2 linked regions of the Sus scrofa genome follow. The protein of the gene in region 1 interacts with the protein of each later gene in a pairwise test. Links are inferred from orthologs where the notes say so. Each region holds a gene or a part of one and is shown in the gene's direction. Other genes may lie near its edges. The genes, in order: NUFIP2 and FBLN5.

What was found.
Region 2: the proteins of NUFIP2 (region 1) and FBLN5 interact in binary tests that used the Homo sapiens proteins (3 or more experiments, as listed by UniProt). The link is inferred for Sus scrofa from reciprocal best matches to the Homo sapiens genes NUFIP2 and FBLN5.

Annotation. Positions count from the first base shown.
Region 1 is NC_010454.4:45,500,043-45,503,862, reverse strand, and holds part of NUFIP2 (nuclear fragile X mental retardation-interacting protein 2), read left to right. Parts: intron 1-3,087; coding exon 3,088-3,820. UniProt on the Homo sapiens protein: Binds RNA.
Region 2 is NC_010449.5:113,432,400-113,436,219, reverse strand, and holds part of FBLN5 (fibulin-5), read left to right. Parts: intron 1-2,751; coding exon 2,752-2,947; intron 2,948-3,820. UniProt on the Homo sapiens protein: Essential for elastic fiber formation, is involved in the assembly of continuous elastin (ELN) polymer and promotes the interaction of microfibrils and ELN. Stabilizes and organizes elastic fibers in the skin, lung and vasculature.

The DNA of each region.
Region 1 (3,820 bases):
AGTTTTTCTTTATCCAGAAGAGGGCGCAAGAGAGGGCCAAATGGATTTGGTAATTTCAGATTCTAATCCAAAAGCTGGGTTTATTAGGACTCAGGGTTTGCTGAGTCTATTCCAAGTAGGGTTAGATGATTTAGCATGGCAACCCTAAATAATAAAAGCACAGGGAGCCCTTTAATTTCTCTCAATAATCCTATAGTGATTACATTTTAAAAAATACCCGAGTTTTAAAAAGAAAGTGACTCTGGCAGACTTTCTGCCTACCAACAAGGTTGCCATGGAAAATTTTTATATAGTTAAATTAGAAATGCTTTTTGTAATTAAAACTTTGTGGTGAAAATATAGTGGCTTCTGGGTGGTTTTATAAATTTCTGGTTTCCCACCAAATAGGAAAAATTATTCTAGTTAATTTAAAAGGCCTGGCTTTGGTCCAGTTTGGTTTGGACCTTGGATTAGTTCTTTATTTTGGTGTTTAAGACTGCTTATCGTTGAAGCCTGAAAAGTTATGACTAAATTGGCCTACAGGTCCAAACGTTTGTTTAGCCTGTCAGCATGTTAAGAGGTATATATAGTTGTTCTTTTTGGCTTAAAGCTGTACATGAGTAATATATATCTGTTAAAAATGTTGAGTATCTTCGAGTTCCTGTCCCTGGCTCAGCGGAAAAGAACCTGACTAGTATCCATGAGGACACAGGTTCGATCCCTGGCCTTGCTCAGTGGGTTAAGGATCCGGCCTTGCTGTGAACTGTGGTGTAAGCTGGCAACTCCGATTTGACTCCTAGCCTGGGAACTTCCATATGCCATGGGTGCAGTTCTAAAAAAAATTTTTAAAAAAAGTTGTGTATCTCTGAAATTTCTGCTTATCTAAAAAGAAGAAAGAACCTTTTAGAAAATATCCCAGTGATCTCTGTTTCATAGTTAAAATTATTTCACCGAAAGTTTGATATAACAAAAAAAAAAAAAAAGAGTGCCCATCATGGTTCGGGGGTAATGAACACAACTGGTATCCATGAAGAGGCGGGTTCCATCCCTGGCCTTGCTTATTGGGTTAAGAATCTGGCAATAGGAGTTCCCATCGTGGCGCATGGTTAACGAATCCGACTAGTAACCATGAGGTTGCGGGTTCGGTCCCTGCCCTTGCTCGGTGGGTGAACGATCCGGCGTTGCTGTGAGCTGTGCTGTAGGTTGCAGACGCGGCTCGGACCCCGCGTTGCTGTGGCTCTGGCGTAGGCCGGTGACTCCAGCTCCGATTCAACCCCTAGCCTGGGAACCTCCATATGCCGAGGGAGCGGCCCAAGAAATAGCAAAAAGACAAAAAAAAAAAAAAAAAAAAAAGAATCTGGCAATACCTCGAACTAACTCAGATCTGGTATGGCTGTGGCTTAGGCTGGCAGCTACAGCTCCAATTCCACCCCTAGCCTGGGAACTCCCATATGCTGTGGGTTTGGCCCTAAAAAGACAAAAAAAAATGTTTGATATGATTGGCTATCATAGCTTTTTTAGCCAGTCAAAAAAATAAAATGTAACTCTACTGAAGTTAACTTTTATGAAATATATTCCTTCATGGAACAAGTTCTGTGCCACTCTGTTTCAGGAATGATTATACCTTAAGTATGTTTTGTTGTGTTATTGCCTCAAAGTTAATATAATTTGCTCATTTCTCTGATGCAGAATGGCTTAAAACTATGGTGAATAAACACTTGTGAATGTTCTCAGAGTGTTCTATTTCACATCAAGTTCCTTTAAAAACAATTGTTCTCAATCTTAAAAAAATCTTAGTGTCCTTGTACTCTTGAAGTATACAGCTTTATGTGTATTGATATTTTTACCGTATTGGAAATTAAAACAACAAAATTTCAAAACAAGAATACATTAGAAGTTCATGTGCCTTTTAGCCTTCACAAGCTAAAGGCCCAAGAGAATGAATGAAAGTGACAAAGGCAGATTACCTAGTTGAATCACATATAGTAATAATCACAGTTTATGATGATAGAAGTTCTTAAACTTGAATACCGTAACACTTTTTAAAATTAGATAACTTTCATTGTAGTTTTGTTAGTATTTCCTTACTATATTACTTGGTTAAGCACTGTGATAGGAAATACCACATGGTGATAGGAAACCATGTTCCAGATAGACTGGAGTTCAGCTTTCTAGGTCTACTTTGTGTCTTGGGCAAGTTACTTAATTTCTGTGAGAGTGTTCACCCAAATGTAAAATGAAAATATATCTTGTAAGAGTTAGTGCCCTAGGTGTTTTGGTTTCATACAGTAACAGTATAATCTAACGTCTGGGAAGTGTTGAGGAATTTAAGACCACTTTTGAAAAAATTCATAAGTGTTAGATTTTTGTTTGACAGAATGCAATAGGAACTGCCTATGGTAACCATCAGCCATTTATGGTTCGGTAGAAATGGAAACTTCTAGTACTTAGATTTTATCAATATGATCTGACTTTGCTCTTAATTGTAAAGGAAAATTTTTTTTTTTAATTTTTTATTTATTTATTTATTTTTTGTCTTTTTGTCGTTGTTGCTATTTCTTGGGCCGCTCCCGCGGCATATGGAGGTTCCCAGGCTAGGGGTCGAATCGGAGCTGTAGCCACCGGCCTACGCCAGGGCCACAGCAACGCGGATCCGAGCTGCGTCTGCAACCTACACCACAGCTCACGGCAACGCCGGATCGTTAACCCACTGAGCAAGGGCAGGGACCGAACCCGCAACCTCATGGTTCCTAGTCGGATTCGTTAACCACTGCGCCACGACGGGAACTCCTGTAAAGGAAATTTTATAGCAGCCTTATAAGAATGAGAAGGTTGATCCTGTTCGGCGAGAGGTATTATGCTTAAGCGGTCATGTTCTTTCTGATCTGGGACTCGGGTTTGATTCCCACCTGTGTTTTGTCTCTTGCTTATTAGTAAACGTCCTCATCTGTGAAATGGAGCTGACAAGTGTCTTCTCATAGAATTATGAAATAATGACATATAAAGCTGAAGCTCAAAGCATAGTGTCTAGCACATACTAAATGTTAGGTACTATTGTAATTTACATATTATAATTCTTTAAAAACCTTTTTTTCCCCCCCTCTCTAGGCTATGGTGAACTAAATGGTAATGCTGGAGAAAGAGAAATTTCTTTAAAGAGCCTGGGTTCTGATGAAGCTACCAACCCTATTTCCAGGGTACTCAATGGCAACCAACAAGTTGTAGACACTAACCTGAAGCAGACTGTAAGGTCCAGCACCTTTGGGAAAGCAGGAATTAAAACCAGGAATTTCATTCAGAAAAACAGTATGGACAAAAAGAATGGAAAGTCTTATGAAAATAAATCTGGAGAGAACCAATCTGTAGACAAGACTGATGCTGTAGCAATTCCAAATGGTGTTGTAACAAATAATTCTGGCTATATTACTAATGGTTATATGGGCAAAGGAGCAGATAATGATGGTAGTGGATCTGAGAGCGGATATACCACTCCTAAAAAAAGGAAAGCTAGGCGCAATAGTGCCAAGGGTTGTGAAAACCTTAATTTAGTGCAGGACAAAATAATGCAACAAGAGACCAATGTCCCAACCTTAAAACAGGGACTTGAAACTTTCAAGCCTGACTACAGTGAACAAAAGGGAAATCGAGTAGATGGTTCAAAGCCCATTTGGAAGTATGAAACTGGGCCTGGAGGAACAAGTCGAGGAAAACCTGCTATGGGTGATATGCTGAGGAAAAGCTCTGATACTAAACCTGGTGTGAGCAGCAAAAAGTTTGATGATCGGCCCAAAGGAAAGCATACTTCTGCTGTTGCCTCCAAAGAGGACTCGTGGACCCTATT
Region 2 (3,820 bases), on another chromosome or scaffold:
GTGAGGTCCCCGACGTGCCACTGAAAACCCTGGGAGACTCCCTGCCTCCGGGCTCTGTTCCAGCCTCACTCCAGCCACCCCCATCCAACTCATTTCCTCCTTCAGGTGGCCTGTGCTCCCGCCAACCTGAACGGGACCTGCTCTCACCTTCACCCACGCCCAGAACGTCCAGCCTCCTGGTTTGCGTGCCCACATTTTCTATGTGGAAGGCATTCCTGCCATTGCCACATGGGTAGACCTGCCTTGTCTTTCAGATCTGAGCTCCGATGCCCCCTCTCCCAGGGCTTTGCAGCGATCCTCTTTAGCTGGAGACATCGCTTCCTCCTCCAGACTTCTTTTAGGAAACAGCTATTTTCTGTGTGACACCCAACTTTTTTTTTGGTTTTTTTTTTTTTTTTTTTTTTTTTTTTGACTGCCCTGCAGCACATGGTGTTCTCAGTTCAGGGATCTGGTCTGAGCTGAAATGCTGGATCCTTAACCCACTGGGCCGGGCTGGGGATCGCACCTGCATCCCAGTGCTCCAGAGATGCTGCCAATCCCGCCGCACTGTAGTGGGAACTCTAACACCTGACACTTTCATGTGGCCATCTTGTCCCCTGGGTCATTTTGACTTGACCATTTCAATAGAGCCTTAAAAAACAAAACTGAAGAAATTCTTTTGATACATTCATTTATTAAGTGTTAGTCAAATTCCTATTCCGTGCCAGACGTGGTGCCAGGTACTGTGGTGTTTGCTCTTATGCTAGTGGAGGAGAAAGATGCTAAATGAATTGTCATGGGGATGAATCTGTGATCATAGATGGTGATAGGTGGCTATGAATAGGAAGAACAGAAATGGACAAAGAGAAAGAGCAGCCTGGACCTGGTCTAGCCTGGGGAGTCCGAAAGCCCCTCTGGGGAACTGACATTGGGGCTTCAGTGGGAAGATGAGCCAATGTTAGCTTAACAGAGGGTGGAAGAGCAAAGGGAACAGCATATGCAAAGACTCTGAGGCAGCCATGACCTTGACGTCTGCAGGGACTGGAAGGGGCTACCATCTAGTGAATCATGTGGACAGTGTCTGAGACGAGGTTCGAGAAACAGGCAGAGACCAGACCCCAGGAGGTTTTAGAGGCTAAAGTGGGTGTTTAGTTTTTATTCAAGATAGGGGCCAGTGTAGAACCTTCAAGCAGGATGGATAGAGACGCAATCCGCTTTATGTCTGACAAAGGGCCCTCTGACCCAGGTAGCTGTGGGAGAGCCCTCCACTCCATCACCGGAGCCCGTCACAGAGGTCCAGGTGAGACAGGAGCGTGGCGATGGTGGAGTTGGAGTGCTTGGATTTGGACAGCGTTTTAGAAGTAGAACTGATAGTTTTGTTTTGGTTTGGGGGGGTGGGCATCTTGGCTATTTTTTTTGTTTAATTGGAGTATATCTGCTTTACAACGTTGGGTTTGTACAACGTTATACAGATACACACGTCCATTCTTTTTCAGATTCTTTTCCCATATAGGTTATTCCAGAATATTGAGTAGAGTTCCCTGTGCTATATACAGCAGGACTTCCTCGCTTATCCATTCTAAATGTAATAGTTTGTATCTACCAAGCCCAAACTCCATCCCAGTCCCTCCCCACTCCCCCTTGGCCTGTTTCTGTTTTATAAATAAGTTCACTTGTGTCATTTTAAAATTAGATTCCATATATAAGTGATATCATATGATATTTGTCTTTGTCTAACGTCCTTCACTTAGTATGATAATCGCTAGGTCTGTTCATGTTGCGGCAAATGGTAGAACTGGTAGGTTTTGAAGGTAGATTGGAAGTTAGGGGAGAGAGATGGAAGCACAGCAAGGTTTACTCTCAGTTGTGGCCACTAAGACGTAGATCAGCAGATATTCTTATCCTGTTTTCCACTCTGACCTGGGGCGGAAGTCTTGGAAGTGAGGTGAGAGATGGGGGGTGGTTAGGGTTGAGTCAAGGGGGGTCTAAAATAAGCATCCCTTGGTAATGAGTCCATTTCATACGATGGCGATGCTATTACTAGTGTTTCAAAGGAGATGCTTTGTATTAGAGATATTTGTGTCTATGATGTATTTCTCCAATTAGAGAGGGACCTAGTTAAGGTCAGGATCCGCTTTATCATTGCAATTGATGTCTTAACACCTTCAAGTCGTGTCCTGATGTTGTATGTTATACAGAGTGAGCTCTGAGTGCTGATTTAGAGAAAGAAAATATGAAATTATATTCCATATAGATTGGGGTAAGTGCAATAGAAAATACAAAACAAAAACAAAAACAAACAAACAAAAAACCCACTTAAGACCTGTCAGTGTAATGTAATTTCTCACTTTTAGGATTTCTTAATGAGTATGTATGGCTGGGGAAGTGAAGGGCTACACAGCACATTTTGCCAACAAAATATGCGACACAGGTAAAGTGCATTAGCGAGTGTCCCCGTGTTCTGGTTCCTAGTCGGATTCATTTCTGCTGCGCCACGAAGGGAACGCCAGTGTCCCAGTGTTCTGGAGACCAGACATCTCAGGTTTGCAGTCCAGTGTTAAGAATATCTGATTGGCCAGAATAGGCCGTTCTCCAGGAAACGGAGAGCTCAGCCACATGCTGGGGAGTTTTTAGACCAGAGCCTCTACAGTTACGGCATCTGGATGATAACAATGGGGTGGCCTCCTGTACAGTGTTTTAAGTGAGGAAGCAGGTACAGCCAGCATCTGGAGAGGATTGACCGCGTTCTCACGTGATTTCCCTTCCCAACAGCCGCTGTATGTGTCCCGCTGAAAACCCTGGCTGCAGAGACCAACCCTTCACCATCTTGTACCGGGATATGGATGTGGTGTCGGGCCGCTCTGTTCCTGCTGACATCTTCCAAATGCAGGCGACGACCCGCTACCCTGGGGCCTATTACATTTTCCAGATCAAGTCTGGGAATGAGGGCAGAGAATTCTATATGCGGGTAAGAAGAGGGGGTGAGTGCTGGGCACCGTCTTTCACAACGCGTTCTGTTGTCTCGCCCGGCTGTGCTTCTAGAAATCGGCCAGAGTGCAGCTGGGAGGGGCGGGTGTGAAGGGAGGAGTCAGGATTCCTGTATCCTCATTCCTTTCACTTCCTCGGCGGCCTTGAGAAAGCTGCTTCTCCCCTGTGAGCCTCAGGACCCTCAACTGTGCCCTGAGAAATTAGACCAAGATGCAATCGTAGGTCTCGTTCCTCCTGCAATTTTTTTTAACCATTTTTTTAATGGAAAAGTAAAATATAAAATATATATAAAATATAAATATATATATATTTTAACTGATTTTTATTTTTTCCATTGTAGCTGGTTTATGGCATTCTGTCAATTTTCTTTTTCTTTCTTTCTTTCTTTCTTTTTTTTTGCCTTTTGTCTTTTTTTTTTTAGGGCCACACCTGTGGCATATGGAGGTTCCCAGGCTAGAGGTGAACTGGAGCTACAGCTGCCAGCCTACACCACAGCCACAGCAACATCAGATCCGAGCTGTGTCTGTGACCTACACCACAGCTCACGGCAATGCCGGATCCTTAACCCACTGAGCGAGGCCAGGGATCGAACCCACAACCTCATAGTTACTAGTAGGGTTTGTTAACCTCTGAGCCATGACGGGAACTCCATGTTCTGTCAATTTTCGACTGTATAGCAAAGTGACCCAGTCACACATATACATTCTTTTTCTCACATTATCCTCCATCACGCGCCATCGTAAGTGACTAGATATAGTTCCCAGTGCTATACAGCAGGAGGTATAGTTAATTTACAATGTTGTGTTAGTTTCAGGTGTACAGCATAGTGATTCAGTTATATATATATATATAT